Kluyveromyces lactis: one gene and its partners. The protein of the gene in region 7 interacts with the protein of the main gene of each other region in a pairwise test. Links are inferred from orthologs where the notes say so. Each region holds a gene or a part of one and is shown on either strand. Other genes may lie near its edges.

Region 1 (4,054 bases), about 2.0 Mb from region 7:
ATCTATAAAGACATCTTGACTGATCAAACTATTCTTCAAAGTTTTTTAGTATCCTTCCTCTTGCATACACTTCGTCTCTCACACTTTGAGATAAAGAATTGTAAAGCGACTTGGATAAAATTGAGCTCACAGTTAGGAACGCCGAGGAAATCGTCACTACATCAACGTAGTAGAATGCCTTTTGAAATGTAGTCATAAGGGAATGATCTGCCGAGACAGAAGGCTGTATGAAAATGAAATAAACAAATGGTGCCCATGAAGAGGTGTAAACTTGTTTGTGGGTAAGGAATTCAAACATAGAAAAACTATATTGCAGAGCAAAAGGTACCGCAATCATTGCAACGAGGTACACAAAGCATATATCCGTGACCCTAATGAGTAATCTTCTGAATCCTAATGTTTTATTCCGCTTCAAACTGCACTGTACCGCGATGTACGCCACTGCTGCTACTTGACAAAACAATAGAGCAGCTATTAATGAGTAAGCTGAATAGCCGCTGTATTCTGATTTTGATGCGAGGTTCGAAAGGAATGGAACAAACGATATATCAGGGCTTGTGTTTTCGAGAACGTCGCCTTTCCAGTAGAAATCTTTGAAGTAGGTGAATATGAAGACCGAATGATAATTGATATTCAACTTGAAAATGATTGGCATAAAGTAGAATGTAAAGACTGGATACACCATTGTTACAAAGCCTTTGATCAAGTTCCAAACATCACCTTCAGCAATTTCCGGTACTCTAAATTCATTGGCTACTGGATTTTCATCATTTTCGGGAATATTATCATCATTGTGAACTATATGCTGATGATTATCGTCGTTTGGACCGTTATTTGGAACATCCCCATTGTGTTCGGCATTAACCTCCAATATTCTGTCATTTAGATGGATATTATTTAATAGATGTGCGTGGTAGGATGACAAAGCGAGAGACAAAAGTATCATACCAGAAGAAACGGAAAGAAGATTTAATGGTTTTACACTTTCATAGAGTTCATTTTGAAATTTCATTGCTGGGGGGATAACCGCATTCAACAATAATTGCAATCCAGTGATAATGGGAAGCCCAGCAAAATTTGAGATTAATAACACAGCAGTAAACAAAAGGGAAGCAAAGATCCATATGAAGACAATTAACAGCGAATAAGTGAAAGTAAAATGCGGAGGGACATAAACTACCTTATATTCATCAAATTCCGTGGGCTGTTTTTCTAGGTAGCCAAATTCTCCGGCATTTCGTTTCTGTCTTTCTTTGATTTTTTCGATATCCAATGGCTTTAGAAGTTTGTCATCCTTAGTAACTGGGACGAACAACAATTGTGCATATTTTTTTGATATTATGTCGCTCGCAGGTACGCGCATCATGGTGCCATCGGGGACAAAATATGCGTGAACATCAGGAATAGTTTTGAAAAGAGTATAGGTTTCATCGAGCGATTTTGGATGAGAGTATAATTCTAGGTTGGACAGTTTTGCCTTGTTTGGGACGAACCATTTATAGTAAAAGTTCCTATAAATAACATGTCCTCTCTCAGTTGGTGAATCTTTTCCTAAGATGAAAGAGGAAAGTCTTAGTTTTCTGCAGCATATATTGAATACAAAGACCCAATATTGTCTAACATAAGCATCAATAACTCTATTCTTCGAGAGAATGAGATACGTTCCAGCAATGACTGCAATAGAAAACATAGAATTTGGTTTTATGAGAGTTGACAATCCATGCTTCATAGGTAAAAGTTCCGAATGTAAAATGTAAGGAAACAAAAGTCTCGTATGAAATCCAAAACCTACTAAAATGAATGCTGTATAGATTGCCATCGACAATGCAAGTCTGGAGAGTTGAAGTTTCATTGGGTATATCAAAGAATCCTGTAATAGCTTAATATTAGGATCATCTGGTGATCTTATGAAGAAAAGAACACCCGGTCTGATAATATATTGTCTTACCATGCCGACATATTGAGCAAAATGATACATATAAACAGTACCAATCGCCCAATAAATAATAAATGTCATAGGCGGCCAAAAGGAACAAAAACTCGGTACGAAAGTCAAGCTGCTCTGTGGTAATAATAGCGGTGAGATCAGTGACACATCAATCAAAAACCCCGCTAAAATCGGAAATCCGGCAAGTTCAAGTGTAAACAACCCTAGCACTTTCAATGTGCACTTGATGATATAGGAAAACTTGAAAATCGTTCTTTTCAAAGAATTCTTTAGAGGTAGCTTCTTGGAATGCCCTCTAGATAACAGTTCTGGTATACAGCAACAAAGAACTATGAAAGTCGCATATGTACTGGCTGGCGCCAACATTCGTACCAGCATCGTATGTTTTGCTGTGCCTTTCATGTATCCCTGATAGTACGATACTATTGGCATTAAAACTGTCCCATTAATCCAATTTTCAACGTAGGATACCAAAGAAAAAGTTTCTATAAGCTTTTGATTGTATTCTGGGATATTTAACCTCTCTGCTGACACTATTACTCCATTCAGCATTATAATCACAACTCTAAAATAAATGAAATTCAACAGATATCCGACAAGTGTGGCTAAAGCGTATGAAATGAAAAGATATCCACCAATGACAGAAAAGACTAAGGAAAAGTAGCTCGGTAAATATTTGTAATCAAGATTTAAATTCAAGATAGCCGTAGGTTGACCATCTTCATTCTCTAGTACAACCGCTGGTTGAGCATTTATTCCATCTTCTTGTACTTCTCCTTCAACAGGCTGAGGTCGTCCGAGTTGAGCATCCAACCGCCCATCGAGTTCTCTTTGTGCAAAGTGTCTTTCCATAATGGATTGTGAATTAAAAGTACAGTCGATTAATAACTCAGCTAATTGGTAATGATATGAATATGTTGCAGAAGAAATATGATATTGTGATCAGAAGAAAAGAGTAATGCAGGGATCTAATGCGGAAAACTCAAGTTGAAGATTCAGTTTCTATGATATAATTATTCAACTTCAACAGCTATACAATTGTAGCAAAGATTAAATATTGTTAACCTGTTGTACTTAGTTGTGAAACGAGATCAGTCGACGATGTATATACTGATTGTCTGCGCCCATGTTGAAATTTCCTTCTTCAAATTTCAATTTCCATTATAAGCCGGGTAATACCAAATTCATCTTTGAGAATCTAATGGGCTAGCATGTTTTACTAAAGCAAGTGAATGATTTGATGGGACAACGAGGGAATTATATTGTATATAGAAGTTTATTTCGAACTGGAGTGAAGGCTGATGCAATGTTTCAATATGAAGATTATCAATATCGTAAATATTTAAATGGGGGATTATAGTTAGTTGGCAAGCTGAGGCTCATCATTATTTTCGTTTACGATGAAATTGTTCTGTTCTTGTTCGTCTTCTGAAGTATCATCTTCATTTGGATCGTCTTGTCGTTGTCTATTGAGGGCATTTATGAGCATGCTTATATCATTTGGATCCATATTTGGAAATCTTTCTCTTAATGACTGCATGGCCAGCTCTTGTTTTGAAAATCTTGGTCCAATCTTATGCAAGATCATCTTATTGAAAATTGGCTCTCTGACTACCATATCATATTGTAAATATGCGATAGCATGCACGATCAAAACCATCAGAATTTGTAACAACGAAAATCTGTAATTTATCACTAGTTGATATAAAATATCCGTAGTTGTTGGATTTTTTGGTATGTTTCTTTCAAAGCCATAAATCAAATTGATATACCATTTGTTATTTGAAGGAAATGAAAAATCATCCACAGTAGCCGTATATAGCTTCCCCCAGATATTCCAGGACAGGGGAATTCCAATGAAGAAAAGGAACGCAATCAATGTGAATTTGAAATAGTGATTTAATTTGCCAAAGATTTTGAAAACGCTATGTTTCAGAAGAAGTAGAAGTGGGATCTTCTCTGGCATTGATTCATCATACAAAGTTTGGAACGCGATTGGATGATTACAAATCGAACATACCATCCCTGCACCAGGTTTTGTAACATCGACATGTTTTGACTGTAGCCATTCGATCAAACATAATTGATGAATATATTTGATGGAGC
Region 2 (3,057 bases), about 130 kb from region 7:
CGAATTTTTTGTTAAGCTTGAAAAAGCTTTCAGAATGTCCAAGGTATCGCACAATCAGCTCAAAGTAAGCTTGAAAAGAGACTTGGGCAGTCATCACGTTCAAAAACCTAATGAATTGGATGTTACTTCCAATCCTACTGGTGATATCTCAAAGATGTCAGAATCCAAACGTTTAAAACAAAACGCTCAACCAGATACAAAACCATACAGACTTATCGTGCTAGTGAGCATGCCATATGATGGGAAACGAACGAAATTCTTCACTTTGGTAGATTCAAAGACTCTTGATAAATTTTGGAAGGATTATGTTAATGTTGTAAAAACAAGTATGTCTGGATTAATTAAAAAGAAGAAGAAGAAGAAGGGTGGTAAGAAAAACTGATGAAATATTCCCAACCTATTATCACCCATGAATCATAAATCCGCAATCGTGTAGCATTATAAAGTACATGTTATATATACATATATAGATGTCAAACTGCAAACCAGTAATTTGGTTTTCATTCGAACTCCACGACAATTGTTCCCGATGGATAAATTGTCCGTTCTTCCTTGATCACTGTGGTTGGCTCCAAACGGGTTCTGGGCACAGGTGAATATAGTTGAAAGTCATACTGATACTCGTAATTTGGTTTTTCTTGTGTAATATCATTCTCGCTGCTAGTGTCAGATAATAAACCTGCTCTGTATAATGCAACGTATGCGTAAATCTCCTCAATTGTTAATGAAGCATCAAATCTTCTAATAATTCTTTCATTTTCTAGTCTGATGCTTACTCTGCAACCGTCACCCGATGGTTCTGGCACTAGTACAGATTTTCTCCAAGCCAACCATTTCTTTTTAAGTTGGCTTTCCTCGATTACCCTATCCCTTTCCTGGTCCCTTTCTAGCGATTCTTGGTATCTCGAATCTTGTTGTTCTCTTAATAACCGTTGCATTTCCTGGTACTGTCTTTGCCTTCTAATCTCAACTAATACTGAATAATATGAGGCTAATTTGGCCTCAAAATGAGAGAAATCATAATCAAATAGTTGGCCCTCCACTCTGGCAAGCAATTTCATTTTATTATTCCGTTGGGGTCCAAGGGCACCTAAAAATGGAAACTGTCTAATCTTTAAAGAATTAGCAGTCTGTAGCCCTTGTGGTGTTGTAACATCGCAAAACCATACAACGCAATTATATTTGGTGACACATTCTACAAACTCGTTGGAAGTTAAAATCTTTCTTACGTACTCGAATGGATCGTATAGTATCGGATTGAAGAAAGATATTATTGCAAATTTACCATCGCTGGAACACCGACGTAAGATATCAGTGTAACCACCCTTAATCATATTTTTGCTCAACATTCCATTCTCTACATTGTACAACGTATCGAATGTATAACCACTCTGTTCGTTGGTATCGGCTGATGAAGAAAGGACATCTATAACATTTACGAATTGGTTACCCAAATCATCGCTGAAATGATTGTCTTTTCTTGTGTAGAAATGAAAGATCTTGCCTATTGGTTTGAAAACTTCCACCGAAGTTAACAGGATATTGAGCAAGTAATATAGTAATGTTAGTGGAATGTATAAGCACATTTTTAATATTCTAGGAACGCCAGCATTCAGTATTGTTTCCTGTTCAGGTTGTTCTGTATTATCATTGTCTTCAGGGAATGATCCTGGGAGAGGGGTAAAACTCACTGCAGGTTGGTTCTGCTGAGACGGCCTACTGAAAATGTTGAATACCATGTTCAACAGTTGCAGATTCGTTTCTATAGAAGAGTACAGCCTCTAATATAGGTGAAGCTTTCTCTTCTTCTACTGAAGATTTACCCTATGGATACCATTGACAACTTTTAAAGGATGTCTGATATTGTTTTTTAAATGTCAAATTTAATGGACAGACAATGATAGATCATCGTGAGTGGAAATTCACAAAGAAAAGCGCCACGGCTAAATAGTACAACTAAGGCATTTAATAGTTAGAGTATAATTCCCGATGATTGCTACTCTCAATTTTATTATATTCCGAAAGTTATTTTCTTCACCTATGGAGTCATGTTAATTTAGGTATCATAATGAGTATATAGTTTTATAGTATTACACATGCCATCAGAGTTAATCGTGAATTCATTACACTTTCATTGACAGATTAGACATGGATGGTTCTCCGCGTCTATTAATGAAATTGTTAACGTCAAGGATAGCCAGTCCGAATATGGGATGAATAGGCTCAACTTCCGGTTCTGGCACAAGTGGAGTTGCAACAAAATCGAAGGGTGAATTGTTTCGGACCATAAAAGAATGTTCGCAAATTGATAAACCAGCCAACACATAATTGGTATGATAAAAGTCCGCTTGTGTTCCCGGTTTATCTCTTAGGCCAGGGCTTTCTTCCGATTGACAGCATTTCAATATATATTGTTTTAGGGCGTCTTTATCTATGCATACTCCATACCCGTATGCTTCTAAGATTGCAGCAGTTCCGCCAACCCAAAAACTGTAGCAACCATCTGTAAGTTTATTGCTTCTTCCGTTTAAACCTTTCTCCTCTTTAGTTTGACGAGAACTACACCATGACAATAACGCATCGATATTGACCTTATCTAAGGCATTCAACATTGCCAAGCTGGCTACTGCACAAAAAGTGTAGCCACCATGTGCTTCATCATTTGGGCAGCCTCCGAAACCACCCTCGTAAGATTGGCATCTTGTCAAGAATTCCGTCACATTACTTGTTAGTTTAGAGTCCACAATGCCTAGTAGTGACGCTATAGATAATGCAGTGTATACGCCTCTCACATCTTGTTCGCCGACTGGGCGTGCAGTCATGAACGCGCCGCTAGGTGTTTTAAGAGAAATGAGCCAGTCGTATATAGCCTTTTTATTGATTTCTCTGTTATCATCGAGATTGTGACATAGAGCGATGGAATTTATAGCAGCGTATGTGGCCGCTAGATGTGGTAGTTGATGCTTTCCGCCGCTGAAGGGACCACCTGTAGGTGATATATACCATAGCTTGTCCAAAATACGCTTCTGATAATCGTTCGTAAGCCAAGTGGGATTC
Region 3 (2,031 bases), on a different chromosome or scaffold from region 7:
TACCAAATTCAAAACGAGTGTGGCAGAAAACTATTAACAAGACAGCTAATATTTCTTCCACTTCTGGTAAATTATTCTTTCTAAAATCATTTACTGTAACAGTTATACTAATTGAAAAGAATGTTCACCATACTAGGAAGGAAAATGACTTGAAAAAAAAAAGACCTAAAAACGCGAAACTTGAAGCAAACCTAGCTTTTCGAATCGAAATAGGAATACAAGGGTGGTAATTTGCAGGAGGTCTGTTATAAGCCCTGCCATTTGATACCCAATCTCTTTTTTCTTTCCATTCGGATTTCATTTCTAATTCCATACCGACTGTTTTCCCTGGGGAAATGCAGATAAGCTTGCGGGCACTTTTCTTGTTGTTCATCCAAAGTAGTTTTAATATTCCAGATACATAGTCAGTTATTATAACATTAGATAGGTTACATTGAAAGATAAAAAAGGATGGGAATGCTGTAGTTGATCCCACTTACTGCTGCAAAGTACACTCCCAATTACAAACTACCACCAATTTGCTCTCTGTGAGCTTCAATGATATCGTTATCTTCCATGTCCAAATCTTCAGGGGTCTGATCTGGTAACACACGCACACCGTCGTAAAGGAATCTTAGGGATTCAATCTCTTTACCTTGTCTCTTAGCAAATGCCTCCATTAATCTTTTTAATGGAGTGGTCTTTTTGATCTTGAAGAAGATCTCACTGGATCCATCCGAAACCTTCAAGTTAATATGTGTTTCTGGCTTAACATCCACCTTTTGTTCTTGTTCTTCTGACATTTCAAACTGTGGTTATATATATAGGCGTTGAAGAATGGAGAAACAGGATTCAATGAATGTTTAAAGACTCGCTTTTTCTTCTTCTAACTCTCGGCAGTATAGATTGAGCTTTTGTTTGTTAAGGTAATTTGTATTGTTGAACTAATTCCTGGCCAAAAAAAAAAAATACTGTAGTCCTGAAATTCGACTGTCAACTGACATGGAAAAGAGCTCTAACAAAAAGCAGTTTCCTTCTTCCTTTTGAGAGCATGAAAATGAGAAGTTAGGGGAGGGAAGGGTAACGACCCACAGGCACGTGATCTTTCACTCCTGCCCATTTTGTTTTGCTGTACTTGGCAAAAGGATTAATCGTAACCCGGCCATGGCCGGGTTACACTTAGCCGGAAGCCGGAAGTTTCCTTTTGCCAAGTACAGCAAAAAGATAAGACGCGTGCTACAGCGCGCAAATGCCCTGTAAATATAAATCACGAGGGCACTTTCCTTTCAGTTTTTTGGATAGAGCTTCAGTCCGTGTTGCATTGGATTTTTGTCGCCGAACGCTATCACCACCGCTCATTCGTTTGTTCCGATAAAGCTATAACTGTCTGGGCTATATTGGAACCTTAAACCCGTTCTCTCAAGTGCCATTAAACTAAAAGCACCGAGATTATTACCCTATCTTTCTTATAAAAAAAGAAATAGAACCTCCGTAGACCGTTTCTCTTAGCCCAATTTGGGTTTTCCACCTCGTTCCTTTTTATTTTAGTTTCAGTTTTCTATTTTGTCGCCCTTGCAGGTGATGGCTACATCCTCTACTGGAAGCTCCATCGAGAAATGGAAACTGCAGGACCATATTCTTTCATTGCTGCGGTATTAACTGGGTGAAGCTGATCATTTGAAAAAGAAATAGGAAGGTGTATGGGTTGTTCCAGGAATATTTAAGGCTCTTCTCTGGACAGCCCTTAGAATCCCGCGCCAGGGATTGTTCGAAAGTGGCGTATTGAATCTTTTTGTATGCAGTTTGCGGTCTTTTCTTTTGGTTCATGGCACAATCTTATTTTCTTTACTTTTTTTCATTCGCAGTAACGTTAAGAAGTGTGTCACAAGATGACGAGATGAGACGATGTAGCCATTGAGCGATCCAAGACTGGAGGTACTTTAGAAGCTGTTAGATGCGTAGCTTAGCCTCAGCCAAAGAGATGGCAATCGTATTCTGATTGCCTTTTCCCTCAGTTCCTTCCCCCACCTGCCCATGGTTAGTAAATTGGAT
Region 4 (3,265 bases), on a different chromosome or scaffold from region 7:
ATGTTGAGCACCGTAGTTGAAAGTAAGTCTGTCAAGATCTAAAAGTACATGTTGGATGGAATACAAAAAAGGTACCATAAACTGACAACAAAATTCGTAATGCTGTGAATGCTTTCTTGAACCAGTACCTGGAGTGAAAAAGCAACAGGAAAATGTCAAAGAAAGGAAGAATGCGCTCACAACGTAAACTAAAAGGTACGTGATCCATTTACGGGAGACTAATTGGCCATATGATGCGCTTATCCAGCTCGTATATCCAAGGTAATTGACATGAAGATAGTTTTTCCTGGTAATAATTAGCATCAACATTGCAACATAGAAAGATAATATTTTTACTGGCCATAACAGTAATTTCTGAGATTTCGACAACTCCCATTGTGTCGTAATGGTTGTAATTAAACCGACAAGTACCGCTGTTTTGAAGAGTAAACCCCTGGCGAAATTATTAAACCTGCTCTTGCATACCCCACTGAATATCCGATGGTAAGTAAAACGAGAATCACGCAGTTGCGGTGCAACCGGTCCTAAACTCTGCACGTAAGACATCAATGAAAACAAACCAATCAAAGATGAACACAGGTAAAAGTACAGCCTGTATAGCAATAAGCTGAGTAATTTTAGATGCTTAAAACAGACAAAGGTCAATTGGACTTTAGGACAATCAATTACCTTCCGAGTTACTTATATTATTTATTTGTATATCATCTCAAGCATTTTAAGTTCTTAACAGGTTGTGATCTAGAGATCAGGCGTCATAAAAAAATTAGATATTCGGGTAACCCTCTTATGCCAATGTCATAGTTGATTTGCATGGTAACTCGAAACTAAAGACAATCACCTCCTTGTCAGTGAGGTCAGTCTCAACATATAGACGCTAAACGCGAACCTGATGATATCGTAAACAGTTGTTACATGTAAATAAGTAAATCAACTAAATATGTGTCATATTCTCTTTCTCTTTCTTGTAACAATGGTCTCGTGTCAACTTTAACGCTTAAAAGTTGATATTCTTGTCCAAAAGATATATACAAATATATACAAGGTCACTCATAGAGTACTGAAAATATTAGAATGATTTGCGTCGCCACTTTCATGACCAATGTAAGTACTTCTATGACAGCACAGGTACTGCCAATCCTATAATGATAATGTTAAGTTTCATTGCCATCCTTTCAAAACTCCTTTCAATTTACATGGCTCTCGCGTCTTTTAATACCGATAGAAACAGATCTTTTTCAAGTTTACGTGATTTAAGCTACTGCTCTGTTTACTTTTTTCAAATTTACTGTATTGATAAACTAAAACTTAAACAAACTAGGTCAAACAGTTAACGATTTTGCGCTGTTGAATTGGACAGGATACCACCTTGCTTGTGTCTTTAACTGGTAGAAGATTTTGTGGATTGGTATATTAGTGCGACTCGCATCAATTTTCCTTTTTGCAGTTTGTTAGATATGGAGGATACAGGAAGTGGCAAGAATGGTAAAGATGACATTCAAACGAAGTTAGATAAGAAGCTAGGACCAGAATATATTTCAAAGAGAGTAGGATTTGGATCCAGTAGAGTAGCATATATCGAAGGCTGGAAAGCAATCAATCTAGCAAACCAGATTTTTGGGTATGACGGATGGTCTACGGAGGTTAAAAATGTCACTATAGATTTCCTTGACGAAAGGCAAGGTCGATTTAGTATTGGATGCACCGCTATTGTTCGTGTTTCGTTAGCCGATGGAACGTTCAGAGAGGATATTGGGTATGGAACCGTGGAAAATGAACGGAGGAAAGCCAGCGCTTTCGAGCGTGCCAAGAAATCTGCAGTGACAGATGCGTTGAAAAGATCGTTAAGAGGGTTCGGAAACGCTCTTGGGAATTGTCTTTATGATAAGGATTTCTTGGCTAAGATTGATAAAGTGAAGTTTGATCCCCCAGATTTTGACGAGGGAAACCTTTTCAGACCTGCAGATGAATTAAGTGAGATGTCAAGATCAAATATGGTTGGAGATGCGCATACTGAGGGACCTTCTTTGAAGAAAAGAAGCCTAACAAATGAGGATAGAAATGCCGTACCTTCTGCACCTGCACAGCAAACGTACCGGTCAAATAATCATACAACACAGAAAAGAGCACCAAAAGCACAAGCAGTAACAGCATCCGCATCACCGAATGAAGAAACTAGCAATCAACAGCAGGACCCTGATGATTTACTTGATGATTCTTTCATGTTTAGCGACGAAATACAAGATGACGATTTACTCAATATGAATACGACAACAAATAACAAAAATTCTACTAATAGCAGTACAACCACAACCACAATATCAGATGAAGCTACTGGTATTATCTCTCCTGTGACATTTGTTACTGCTAAAGCTGCCACATCACTGCAACATAAAGATCCCATCCCGTCAGGATCTATGTTTGACCCTAAATTTCAAGCCCAGTCCATAAGACATACCGTTGACCAGTCAGTATCTACACCAGTCAGAGCTACTATTTTAAAAGAAAAGGGCTTGGACAGTGATAGGTCCAGTATCTACTCCAAGTTCGCTCCTAAGGGCAAGGAACTGTCTGGCACAACGACAAATTCTGAACCATATGTTGCTGCTCCCCAAACGAGCGCAACAGAAAGTAACAGAAGTACCCCAACAAGATCAAATGCACAACTAGCAGGACCGCAACCTGCTCCGCAACTGCAAGGTCCTCAGCGCACCCAACTTGGAAGACCTCGTATGCTGCAACAGCCAAACAGAAGAAATGTGTCATAAAGTGTCTTAGAGAATAACTAAAGTCATCGAATTACCTGCCAAGATGAAAAATCATAGAATTTAAGAAATGATAAATGTTACGGTTTTGCCACATCTCAAGTTTGTAACCTACAGGTGTTATTTAAATATCCAACCGCTATATGTATAATTAGTTACTCATGCCTAATCTATATTCACTTGCACCCTACGCATTTTTTATTCCACAACATGAGATCACACTCTACGAAATGAAAATAATTGCGAGCGTTAGGCATAAGATCAATTGAGGATAACTATTTAATAAGATTTCACTATCAAAGGGCAGATATAGACAATTAATCGCCTAAGAACACGTCTCTGTATCACGTTCCAGCTTTCCAGAACGTTAATTTTTGAAGGCTACCTTTTCACTTTGTGTATAACAGCCATTCTGTTTTGAGACCTTGGTTTTTCTTTCAAACAATAGGAAGAGCAAATCCCATCGCAAGAGGTTTTTAGTTTGCCATCATCAACACAAAAGA
Region 5 (3,470 bases), on a different chromosome or scaffold from region 7:
CCAAAAATGATAGGTTAATGGTCTCAAGTTTACTGCATCGATAGATACCTTCCTCGGGAATCCCGAAATTCGCTGGAGGAACTAACATAGCTGATGGTTTCTATGACCCTAGAGTTGTATCTCCTCACCTGTCCCCTTGGCTTCAGCACTGATCTTTCTGCCAATCACCTTTTCTATCATTGTGATGTGCACATGAAGATCTTTGTTCCTTTAAATTTCATCAAGCTCGAACCAACTTCAAAGGGTTGTGACTTAGAGAAAGAAGGAACAAAAAGGGAAGACAACAATAATGTTTCGGTGATATGCTTATAGTGAGAGGGAAATATATAAAATGTACATGTGGATAGGTTACATACGGATATATTTAACAAGTTTTCCCCGACTCATAGTTTCATCGTTTTAGTTAATTTTTTTTATGGTTTTTTTTTTTATAATATGGTTTTATCACGCCTTTCATTTAGGTTTGAGATGATTTGGGTTTACGATTAAAGTACATGAGATTAGTTCTTTGATTTGTCATTACGGGATTTCACTGAGCTCTTTTTAAGCGTGGAATTACCTTGGTTTAACGAGAGTTCTGGTGATGGGGAATTATGTGAACTGTTGCCGTTTGTGTTGTGATTAGTGTTACCAGAATTACTATTACTATTGTTGCTGTTGTTCTTGGCTTTGTACTTAGAAGCTTTATCGCCCTTTGGGTTTAAATTAATAACTCTTTCACCGACTTTTAAATGTTGAGCATCGATGGCAGCGTCTCTTGCAGGTTTTTCTCTGAAATCAACCACAGCGAACGAATCTTGGAATGAGGTTTTTACGACATCACCGTATTCTTTTATTAGAGCTCTTTCAAGTTCGGATGCGGTCAACCCATTTGTGTTACCCACGTATACTGGGTAGAAACCGCTGCTGTTTTGGATGATAACGTCGCCTATTGGTTTCGATTGCTGCTTGCTTTTCTTGTTTGACTTGGTGAATCCGTTTGGAGGTGGACTTTTAGACTTCTTTTGTGGAAGATCTACCTTGATGTAGTTTGTAGTTAGTTTAGATGTCTTGTTGAGTTTGCCTGCCCAAGTCATTTTCACTGGTTCAGCCTTTGGGGTGACTTCTGTTTCAGGAACCTCTTGTGGGGGCACCGATTCAGAACGGGTTGTCGTTGAGGTTGGGGTGGCTGATGCTGAAGTCGCTTGCTCTTTTGGTTGTGCTTGTGCTTCGTCTTCCTTGTCTTCTTTTTCTTTTTCTGCAATAGCAGCAGGAGCAGTAGCTGGCGCAATCGCCTCATTTTCCTTAGGTTTAGTTTTATTTACTGAAACGGCTTGGGGTTGTTCCACTTTTGTTTCCGTTGGAGCAGTAGAGGGCTGTTGCTTCTCAGTTGGAATTGGCTTGACAATCTCAACCGGTTTCGCTGCTGCCTTTACCACTACTGGAGAAACAGATACAGGAACAGAAACAGGAGCTGCGTCCCCGTTGACATTTGGCTTCTCATTCTCAGCTTCAACAACAACAGCAGATGGTGGTGATACTGGCTGGTCTGGGTTCACTAATGGAGCAAGGTCAGGAATGAAACGAATGATATCGTTTTTCAAATCGTAGACTTTACTGTTATACTCTGCTGGTTCCAGGATAAAGCACTGACAAAATCTGTAAGATGGTGAATCCGTCCAGCATAGCTCCCCTAATATCAATATCAGAATCGAAGAACTCTCGTACCCAGTAGATTGCACATCACACGAATCAATCTTGACCTTCAAATCCTGTACACGCTTGCTGTTTCTGGTAAAGAAATTGTTGATGTTATCCTTACCAATCAACTTGACGGTGTTTAAATAATCTTTGTCATGCTTGATAGGTTCATTATAATTCACATGGGTCAATTCCGCCGTGGTAGAATATAAACACGACAATTTCGATGGATCATTATGCATACGTTCATAGTACGTCCTTAGGAACGCATATCCGATCTCTTTCACATCGTAAGTGGTCATATTTTCCAAACCAAATGTGATTGTATCAAATTAATCTAAACAGGAAAAAACACACTGGTTCTTGTAAAAGAATTCAACTATTCTTTGATAACTCTCAATTTCAAACCGATCGCGGGTATCAAAAAATCAAATTGGAATGCTAAAGTGTATGAAATGAATGCAATACAGTCAATCGTTGTCAATCAGAAAGACCTTTGAATGAATTAAAAATAAAACTGTCAAACAAAAAAAAAAAAAAGAAGGGAAAAGCACGCTCTAATAACGCTCTAACAACGTTTTAATCCAAGTGTATTAACGGTGGATATTCAAGCAGGAAAGTATAGGGTATACTAGAATACAATAACAAAAAAGTATTAATTTCCTATGGGTGCTTTTTTCCAGACTCACGGGAAATTTCAGCACTACGAACACCGTATATGTGCCTCACGCTTCAAACTTATCGCTAAAGATTAAAGTCTGGTTTCTAATGAATGCATGAAAACCGATAAGCGAACCAAATAGACACCCTAACAACAAGAAACGCCCCTCACAAGCAAAGTATGTGCATGTTTGCATCTAGTGATTATATGTAAAGAGTCAATTTTCAAAATTTTTTAATGGAAAACTCGTCAATCATCTTATGAAATCATGCCTCACGAGATGCCAGGTGAATGAAGTACACAGGTTGCGCTCTTGCAACCTGTGGGTTTCGCACTGGTCAGCATCAGTTCAGTTCAGTGACGGTGGCTAGTCAGCCACCTTTTATACCCTATTTTAAGAATGATTGTGTATGTATATATATATATTCACATACATAAATGCATTATTGATGATACTCTATATGAAAGGCTGGCACATAAAAATCACATATATTACTCCTGTGTGATTCCGTAGATCAGGTTCTTGTAGTAACTGAAATCTGTTCCATTGCGTAGTTTGTACAAAGACAATTTACCGAGTTGGGTGTATGCCAATAGTGCCAAGAGACTTTGTCCCGCTGCGCTGCTGAACAATGGGAAGATCGGAATCCCCAACTCGTCAGCCAGTAGTTCTAGTGTATATTGCTGTTGTTGGTTTTGTTGCTGTTGCTGTTGACTTTGTAATAGATGTAATGGTGGTGGATGTGGGTGTTGTTGCGTTACCTCATGAACTAACTTGTTAATTAGGTTCAAATCGTACGACGTTGGTATGTATTTCTGAACCCACCATTCGAAGTCCTCTTTGTTGTTGGGCATGTTTGTGTTCATGAGCCTGTTGATTAAGAACCCGTAATCGTATGCTGCATGGTAACTGATCCACGTGACCTCATCGTTCAACAATAACCCGGAATCCATCATCAACTGAGCAAACTCGTCGAAATCAACACCGTTCTGTTGATGTCTCTCCAAGATGACACCGGATTTCTTTAATAGTTCTAACGATTCCGAATTCACGGTCTCCTTTGTTACGTCGAAATGGAAGTTGAATTGCCATGTGGATGGGAAGTTGTCTGGTTTATTCCCCTGTAAA
Region 6 (3,507 bases), about 530 kb from region 7:
AATAGCGCTTTCTAAAAAGTTCTTGGACAGTGCCACAGATCAATCAAAAAATGATGATGATCTTTTTCAGCAGGAAGAGTTGAAGGACTTGTTTACCATTAATTTGTCCACTTTATCCAATACCCACGACTTAATTTGTAATTGTTCTGGTGAAGTAGAAGTGCTTGAAGAAGAAGAGATAACGGGTACTGATGAAGCCAACGCCCAGCCAGAATACCAGGCTGCTGCGACTCCATCAAACAATCCTCCTGCTTCAATTTGGATCAATGCTCTAGAAGCCCAAAAAATTATAGAGAAGGAGGAGATACTTCGAAATGGAACAAAGTCAGAAATCATGAGAAAATGCCTATTGGGATACAAACATATTGATCCACAAAAGACTAATGACTTAATTGACGAAGCTATGAATAACGTCTTTGATGATGCACGACAGTACATCACTTATGCTTTGGTAAAAGACTCCGTGTAAAAGTTATATATGTTACTATTTATACTTGCATCTAGTTACCAGAAAATCTTTTCATTCTCGCTTCAGCTGCACGAGCTCGCTGCTCTCTCATCAATCTCATCCGTTGATCATCAGTTAAAGAGTTCAAATTTATTTGAACGTTAGAGGATGCGGCGCCAAGTTTCATTCCGGGACCTCTTTTAGCATCTTTTTCCTCTTTGATTCTTTCCTTTGCCGCCTGCAATTCTTTTTCTATCAAGTCTTTCTTTTCTTTCTCTTCTTCGAGTGCTATCTTCTTGTGCCTTTCATCTATCTGTTCAGCCGATAATGCTCCACTAACATGACTTTGCTCCCAATCCGTGAAGCTTTCTCCTAAATTATAACGCGCCAACTGGAAGGTTTCCTTGACCATGGTGTCACTCGCCAGATCCCACGCTGTTTTTCCAACATTGTTAGTAATTGTAGGATCTGCTTTTAAAGTGGACAACAACACCAATACCATGTGTTTCAAGCCGTGAGATGATGCATAATGTAGCATTGTTGGTGTGTGATGATATTCAGAAGAGGGTTGCAAAGTAATATTGACATCAAGATTGTTTTTCTTGATATACGATATTAACAGCGGCGCCTTACTCTTTTGAATAAATGAGATTAGCTTTTCGGTATGTTGTTCATCTTCTGTCTTCAGAGGCACTGGTGTTGGAGAATTTGTAAGTTTCCTAGGTTTGTTCTTTGAATGATCAGTTTGCAATTTTTTGACTTTTGGTTGAGGTTTGTCCGTTATCGATAAATACGTCAATTGAACCCAGGCACGCCTTAGTTCATTTGAGGATGGGCGCATCGTAGTGAATGGGAAAGACTTTAGTTTGACATCAGTTTTAGAGATGCAAGTATTATCTAAGAAGATCTTTCTATCTGTGACACTATTGGCTCTAATGAAAATATTGTCACACTTTGCAATGTAGGGTTCCCAATCCTTTAACAATGCTTGTATGTCTGCTTTCAACGCTGCTTCATTATATCTACGTAGAGTTGAACCAGCGGAATTTGCCTTTCCCTTGGCATTGTCATTTGCTGATTGGGAGCCACCTTGCTTTCTTCTGGTAGTGTATCGATGGAACGTTTTCTGTTCCAAAAACTGTACTGACTGCTCTTGTAGAGATAGGATATATTTATTTTTGTTATTACCATTAGTTGGTATCTTTTGATGCGATACCACTGCTCCTGCAAAATGACCGCCGCCAATCATGAACAACACAGAGAAATGCTCGGTTTTATCCTGATTTTTCCAATGATGAATTGATTTCAATGGGCATTTCAATTCCTCTGCATTAAATAGTACTTTATAAGCCCCGAAAATTCTTGGTCCCGATAATTCAGCAGAATGCATGAATATTAAAGGAGATTGTGTGTTTAAATGAGAAACGGGTCCCGTTTGGTTGTCATTGATCATCAAATCCTGGAGTTCATGCTCGAGAATTGCTGTCAACTGCTCTCCTCCTCTTGTAGAAATATCATCTTCTTCTATTTCATCTGTCTCATCATCCTCACCAGATAAAGAATCACTGTCAGAATCTTCTGCAGTGGCTGTTTCTTTACTTTTAATCAACTGCCTAAACTCTTGCTCATCGACTGGAGATAAACCGTAAACTCTTCTTTTTATGTTGAATTTGTGTAAATCAGTTTTAAAATGATATCGAGGATCAGAATTATCATTAGGAAATGCATTAATACCACATGAAGCACATGAAGGTACTGTTTTAACCTCAATTTCCTTTTTGTTTTCGATTTCTACATCAGAATGGACCACTTTAACCTCATTCATATCAGAGTCGAAAGATATCAACTGCAAAGAAGAAAGGATCTCATCAGACAAATCATAGACGTACAAGTCATTCTTTTGTATTCTGTCGGACATCAGTTCAGGGAATCCACACTTCTTTGAGCTCTTTAACACCTCTTTTAAAACGTTTCACTGTGTGATGGCAAGTTTTCATGAATGAAGAAGATTTATTGAAGTAACAAACTTTGAAATATCAAGGTTTCACTATAAATAAAGTACATTGAAGTAAAAAACCATACATGACCAGACTTGATCAACTAAGCAGGGTAAAAAAATGGATTTACTGACATCAGTATGTATTAAACAGAATGAAATGGTATATACATGAAATAAATTGGATGCAGAAAGGTAGTAGTCTATTTCCGATTTTTGATAGATTTATTGACTACCGACTCTGTGACATTCCTGCAAAAAGAATTTGATCTTCTCTGGATCCATGAATGGATGGGTACCATGTCCAAAGTTTACAATGTAATGTTGCTTACCTCCGCCGAAACCATGAACCATTTCAGTGACTCTCTTGGTAATAATCTCATCCGAACCGTAAATTACACCAGGGTCCAAATTACCCTGTAAGGTAACACGGTCACTGTTGATCTTTACTGCCTCTGCAGGGTCCCATGACCAATCTAAAGAAACTGCATTATAGCCACTGTCACATAGTTTGTCTAGTGCGTACCATGATCCCTTGGCGAATACTACCATTGGAACACGTTCTTCGATACCCAGCTGCTTTAACCTTGGTGGAACTCTTTCCGCAATTTGCTTTAGGTACGGTAAAGAGAACTCGTCGAAATCACGAGAGCCTAACTCGCCACCCCAACTTTCAAACACTTGAAGCATCTGACAACCAGCAACTACCTGTTGGCACAAGAATTCGACCGCAACGTCAGTAATCTTCTGTAATAATTTATGCGATGATTCTGGCGATTCGTTTAACCATTGCTTAGCGAATCTGAATAAACGCGATCCACCACCCTCGGTCATATAAACCAATAACGTCCATGGAGCACCACAGAAACCTAACAAAGGCACTTGGCCGTCCAATTTAGTACGAGTCATAGTGATAGCTTTAAAGGCCCATTCTAGTTCGTCTAAAACGTTGACCTTATAATCCAATACCTTTTGTAGTTGCTCTTCAGTTCTCAACGGTTCCGGGAAATGAGGGCCTTTCCCCTCAACCATCTCAACTTTCATACCCATGGCCTGAGGGATC
Region 7 (4,188 bases):
GTATTCATTAATATAATTTGGTTTTACTTCGGAGACCCTGTATTGCTTTGCCTGGCGAAAATATACCATTGCACTACTAGGTCGAATTAAAGATGAATTCAAGACCCAAAATTGGAAGGGATAGCTAAGACTGATGAATCTTTTAACCATATTAAAACCAGTTATCTCAAATATCCTGTTACACGTGATTAATAGATAATATTTAATCTCTACGTAAATTTAGCAACAAGTATTCCTCTGTATTGTAATTTATTACATTTCATTTTGCATCGAAAAAGACCTGTTATGTTTTGTGAAGGTTATGTATCTAACTGTACAAATCATCGTCATCTTCACCAGCGGCATCTCCGAAAGCTGCACCAGAACCCTCAGCACCAGCTTGAGTTGCGGCAGCACCTGAATCATCACCAAACGAGAAGTTGCCGAATTGTCCTCTGGATGCCTTCATCTGTTGAGCATAAGCTTCGTAACGACGAAGCTCAGTATCTGTAACAGAACGCTTGGCTGTTTTCATAGCTTCAGTGAAGTGTTCTTTGGTAATGAATGGAACTGGATCCTCTTGTTGAACGTCTGACATTTCAACGTCTTCTTCTGTCTTGACCTTCTCGGTTTCTTCTGCACCTTCTTCTTTCTTGACAACTTCTGCACGTTTTTGTGCCTCGATGGAATCTTTAATGGCAAACTTCGCAGCTCTCTGTACGATATATAATAAATCTGCACCAGAGAATCCCTGTGTAGCTTGAGCGATGGTCTTTAGATCTAGTCCTGGTTCTAATGGTGTATTTCTTAATTGGGCTGATAGAATAGATAATCTTCCTGTTTCGTCTGGTAATGGAACGTAGATCAATTGATCCAATCTACCAGGTCTTAAAATAGCTGGATCGATTTGATCTGGTCTGTTAGTGGCACCAATAACGAAAACGTTCTTCTTGGCGTTCATACCATCCATTTCGGTCAATAATTGGTTAACCACTCTGTCAGATGCACCACCTGCATCACCTAAAGAACCACCACGAGCCTTAGCAATGGAGTCCAATTCATCTAAGAAAACGACAGTTGGGGCTGCAGCTCTGGCTTTGTCGAAAATATCACGGATATTGGATTCGGACTCACCGTACCACATACTTAATAACTCAGGACCCTTGACCGAAATGAAATTAGCAGACACTTCGGTGGCGACAGCCTTAGCTAACAAAGTCTTACCAGTACCAGGAGGACCGTAGAACAACACACCCTTCGATGGTGACAAACCAAACTTGGTGTATTGATCTGGATGCAAGACTGGATATTCGACGGTTTCCTTCAATTCATCCTTAATTTCATCCAAGCCACCGATATCATCCCATGTGACATTAACAGATTCTACAACGGTTTCACGCAATGCGGATGGGTTGGAGTTACCCAATGCAAATCTGAAGTTGTCCATAGTAACTCCTAATGAGTCCAACACTTCGGCGTCAATTTCGTCTTCATCTAAGTCAATTAGGTCCATCTTTTCACGAATTTGTTGCATAGCAGCTTCAGAACATAGGGAGGCAATATCAGCACCAACATAACCATGGGTTTCAGCGGCCAACTTTTCTAAGTCGACGTCGTCAGCCAACTTCATATTTTTAGTGTGAATACGTAAGACTTCCAATCTACCAGTAACGTCAGGAACACCAATATCGACTTCTCTATCAAATCTACCGAATCTTCTCAAAGCAGGATCGATAGAATTGGGTCTATTGGTGGCTGCAATGACAACGATGTTGGATCTAGCCTTCATACCATCCATTAGAGTCAATAATTGAGAAACGACTCTTCTTTCCACTTCACCGTTAGTCTTGTCACGCTTTGGTGCAATAGAATCAATTTCATCGATAAAAATAATGGCCGGAGCATTCTTTTCTGCTTCTTCGAAAGCCTTTCTCAAGTTGGATTCAGATTCACCAGCCATCTTGGACATGACTTCTGGACCATTGATTAAGAAGAAAAATGCACCTGTCTCGTTAGCCACAGCTCTGGCCATTAGAGTTTTACCGGTACCTGGAGGACCGTACATCAAAATACCCTTCGGAGGTTTGATACCAATGGCCTTAAATAGTTGTGGGTGTCTCAATGGCAATTCGACCAATTCTCTAATTTGAGCCATTTGCTTACGACAACCACCAATATCATCATAACCGACTTCATTGATGTTATTTTCTTCATCTTCTCTGTTAATTGGCTCACCTTCACTATGAATGACAGTATCTTGGGCAACAACACCGTACTCTTCAGGCTCAACGTCTACGACCTTGAACTCTACTTGTCTCATACCACCTCTAACGATAAAGTGGTCACCTTTTCTAACCGGTCTATAAGCTTCGACAAAGTATGGCTTCAAGTACACATCAAATAGATTACCAGTCAACCCCTCGATGGTGTCAGCGATTGGCAACACTGAGATTCTGGAAGCATACTTGATATCGGTACATGGATGGATAGTGACCAAATCACCGAGTCTTATTCTCAAGTTGTTACGAATAACACGGTTTACTCTACAGACACCATCTTCCAGTTCGTCATCAATCATAACAATCAAAACGGTGTCCTTTCTCTTCTTACCCTTGACTAAAACGGTGTCACCACGGAACAATTGTAAAAGATCCATAGTGTTAGAATTGATAGCAATGATAGAATTGTCATCGTTAACTGCATCATCGACCAGTAACATGTTTTGCTTCTTCTTTCTTCTCAAGATGGCAGTGGCGGTAGCATCATCTGCGTCAGCTGCAGTGCCAGAACTATCTAACAATTTCTTATGTTCTTCTGGCATGTTCTCTTAATAACTGAGGTGAAAAGTTGTTTTAAAGATACTGTAATTCCTTCTGGTAGGATCCACGATGTAATTAAGCTCTTGGTAAACAGGATATGCAGGTTTCTTGATTAACTTCTGAAATTGGACCTTATTTCTTCTTATTTCAACCAAAAGACGGAAGATAAAACAAAAATTAAATAACTTGATCTAACCCCTAATCTGGTGATTCAATGATTCAATTAAAGGAGACAATTATTGTAAATCCCTGGTGAGTGCTTTATTTAATCTAGCGTTCACTTACTGGTGTTAATCCTGAAAATAACCTTCAAGGATCACCGAAAATAGTGTGCAATACTTATATATAATAAATCGCTTCCCTCTTTATAATCTAGAGATTTCAGAATTTGCCACCGGATATGTGAAATTTCGGCCGGGTAACAATATTTTTTCATCTCCTCTCTAAGAAGATCCCTCCCACAATGCGAATGAGCTATTGGATTCCTTATGTGAATGGTAAGTAGAAATTGGTACAGTAGGAAATATGTAGTTATAATATATATGAGACGATCTCAATGATCATCTTCGTTAGCTTCGTCAGCTTCGTCAGCTTCGTCATCTTCGTCATATCTTGGTCTCTTTCATTGCGAAAAAGATCGCGCTTAGGTTTCTAGTTTGGCAAGCAACTTTTTATGCATTTCACTCAGCTTAGCAAAATCAGTTTCCTGTGCAGGCCAACCTACGATTAATCCAGCATCCTTTGTTTTCTTTGGGATCAAATGGAAATGCACGTGATCTACTTCTTGATGGGCTATTCTACCGTTGTTTTGAAGGACATTGTACCCTGGACCATCAGGACCATCTTGGTCGAAGCCAATGGCTTTCACTAACTTCTTAGTAACTGGCAACAGGTCAGCTAAGTATTCATCTGGGATGTTGTGCAATTTCCCACCGTGGTGCTTTGGAATGATAAGAATGTGGTTCTCTTCAGTTGGTTGGATGTCAAGGAACGAGTAAGAATACTGAGTTTCAACCAATTTGAAAGAAGGGATTTCACCTGAAAGTACACCAGTAGTGGAATCTGTTAGTATTATAGTTCATAAGATCAAAGAGCTAGTCTAAGCCACTTGGGTGGTTGCGAGCATGCAAAAACCAAGGGGAGAAACAGATATTTGTTCTCACCTAACAATTTGAGGTTTACATACCTTTGATAATCTTGCAGAAAATACAAGCAGCGTCGTGGGCAACAGCACTCATTGGTATCGGCTTATTAAACGTTTGAATTCACACGTATCGGTACTTATTGCAATATTTCTTTCGACTGCGAAAATGTTGGAGAATCTGCAACTAATTGGAGTTCAGTCTTTTTTCATCATTATACATTTGTGTATTGGCCCTTATATATATGT

Evidence for each region.
Region 1: the proteins of CDC48 (region 7) and SSM4 interact in binary tests that used the Saccharomyces cerevisiae proteins (3 or more experiments, as listed by UniProt). The link is inferred for Kluyveromyces lactis from reciprocal best matches to the Saccharomyces cerevisiae genes CDC48 and SSM4.
Region 2: the proteins of CDC48 (region 7) and UBX3 interact in binary tests that used the Saccharomyces cerevisiae proteins (3 or more experiments, as listed by UniProt). The link is inferred for Kluyveromyces lactis from reciprocal best matches to the Saccharomyces cerevisiae genes CDC48 and UBX3.
Region 3: the proteins of CDC48 (region 7) and SMT3 interact in binary tests that used the Saccharomyces cerevisiae proteins (3 or more experiments, as listed by UniProt). The link is inferred for Kluyveromyces lactis from reciprocal best matches to the Saccharomyces cerevisiae genes CDC48 and SMT3.
Region 4: the proteins of CDC48 (region 7) and RAD52 interact in binary tests that used the Saccharomyces cerevisiae proteins (3 or more experiments, as listed by UniProt). The link is inferred for Kluyveromyces lactis from reciprocal best matches to the Saccharomyces cerevisiae genes CDC48 and RAD52.
Region 5: the proteins of CDC48 (region 7) and BRE5 interact in binary tests that used the Saccharomyces cerevisiae proteins (3 or more experiments, as listed by UniProt). The link is inferred for Kluyveromyces lactis from reciprocal best matches to the Saccharomyces cerevisiae genes CDC48 and BRE5.
Region 6: the proteins of CDC48 (region 7) and VMS1 interact in binary tests that used the Saccharomyces cerevisiae proteins (3 or more experiments, as listed by UniProt). The link is inferred for Kluyveromyces lactis from reciprocal best matches to the Saccharomyces cerevisiae genes CDC48 and VMS1.

The regions. Positions count from the first base shown.
Region 1 is NC_006042.1:2,566,262-2,570,315, forward strand, and holds SSM4 (E3 ubiquitin-protein ligase SSM4), read right to left. Parts: upstream 2,801-4,054; coding exon 29-2,800; downstream 1-28. Other genes in the region: KLLA0_F27709g (uncharacterized protein), read right to left, coding at 3,309-4,054. UniProt on the Saccharomyces cerevisiae protein: E3 ubiquitin-protein ligase which accepts ubiquitin specifically from endoplasmic reticulum-associated UBC6 and UBC7 E2 ligases, and transfers it to substrates promoting their degradation.
Region 2 is NC_006042.1:680,663-683,719, forward strand, and holds UBX3 (clathrin-mediated endocytosis regulator UBX3), read right to left. Parts: upstream 1,740-3,057; coding exon 501-1,739; downstream 1-500. Other genes in the region: RNA-binding signal recognition particle subunit SRP14, read left to right, coding at 1-382; RAM1 (protein farnesyltransferase), read right to left, coding at 2,124-3,057.
Region 3 is NC_006039.1:125,693-127,723, reverse strand, and holds SMT3 (SUMO family protein SMT3), read right to left. Parts: upstream 783-2,031; coding exon 501-782; downstream 1-500. UniProt on the Saccharomyces cerevisiae protein: Not known; suppressor of MIF2 mutations.
Region 4 is NC_006038.1:140,959-144,223, forward strand, and holds RAD52 (recombinase RAD52), read left to right. Parts: upstream 1-1,454; coding exon 1,455-2,765; downstream 2,766-3,265. Other genes in the region: NDC1 (Ndc1p), read right to left, coding at 1-546; E3 ubiquitin-protein ligase TOM1, read left to right, coding at 3,265-3,265. UniProt on the Saccharomyces cerevisiae protein: Involved in DNA double-strand break (DSB) repair and recombination. Promotes the annealing of complementary single-stranded DNA and by stimulation of the RAD51 recombinase.
Region 5 is NC_006039.1:1,666,814-1,670,283, forward strand, and holds BRE5 (Bre5p), read right to left. Parts: upstream 1,983-3,470; coding exon 501-1,982; downstream 1-500. Other genes in the region: OCA4 (Oca4p), read right to left, coding at 1-88; CCR4-NOT core DEDD family RNase subunit POP2, read right to left, coding at 2,834-3,470. UniProt on the Saccharomyces cerevisiae protein: Has a role in de-ubiquitination. In conjunction with UBP3, cleaves ubiquitin, leading to the subsequent mono-ubiquitination of sec23.
Region 6 is NC_006042.1:1,086,661-1,090,167, reverse strand, and holds VMS1 (Vms1p), read right to left. Parts: upstream 2,367-3,507; coding exon 501-2,366; downstream 1-500. Other genes in the region: DNA-dependent ATPase RDH54, read left to right, coding at 1-469; uroporphyrinogen decarboxylase HEM12, read right to left, coding at 2,670-3,507. UniProt on the Saccharomyces cerevisiae protein: Endonuclease that cleaves polypeptidyl-tRNAs downstream of the ribosome-associated quality control (RQC) pathway to release incompletely synthesized polypeptides for degradation.
Region 7 is NC_006042.1:553,099-557,286, forward strand, and holds CDC48 (AAA family ATPase CDC48), read right to left. Parts: upstream 2,801-4,188; coding exon 308-2,800; downstream 1-307. Other genes in the region: HNT1 (adenosine 5'-monophosphoramidase), read right to left, coding at 3,442-3,836, 3,985-4,036. UniProt on the Saccharomyces cerevisiae protein: ATP-dependent chaperone which probably uses the energy provided by ATP hydrolysis to generate mechanical force to unfold substrate proteins, disassemble protein complexes, and disaggregate protein aggregates.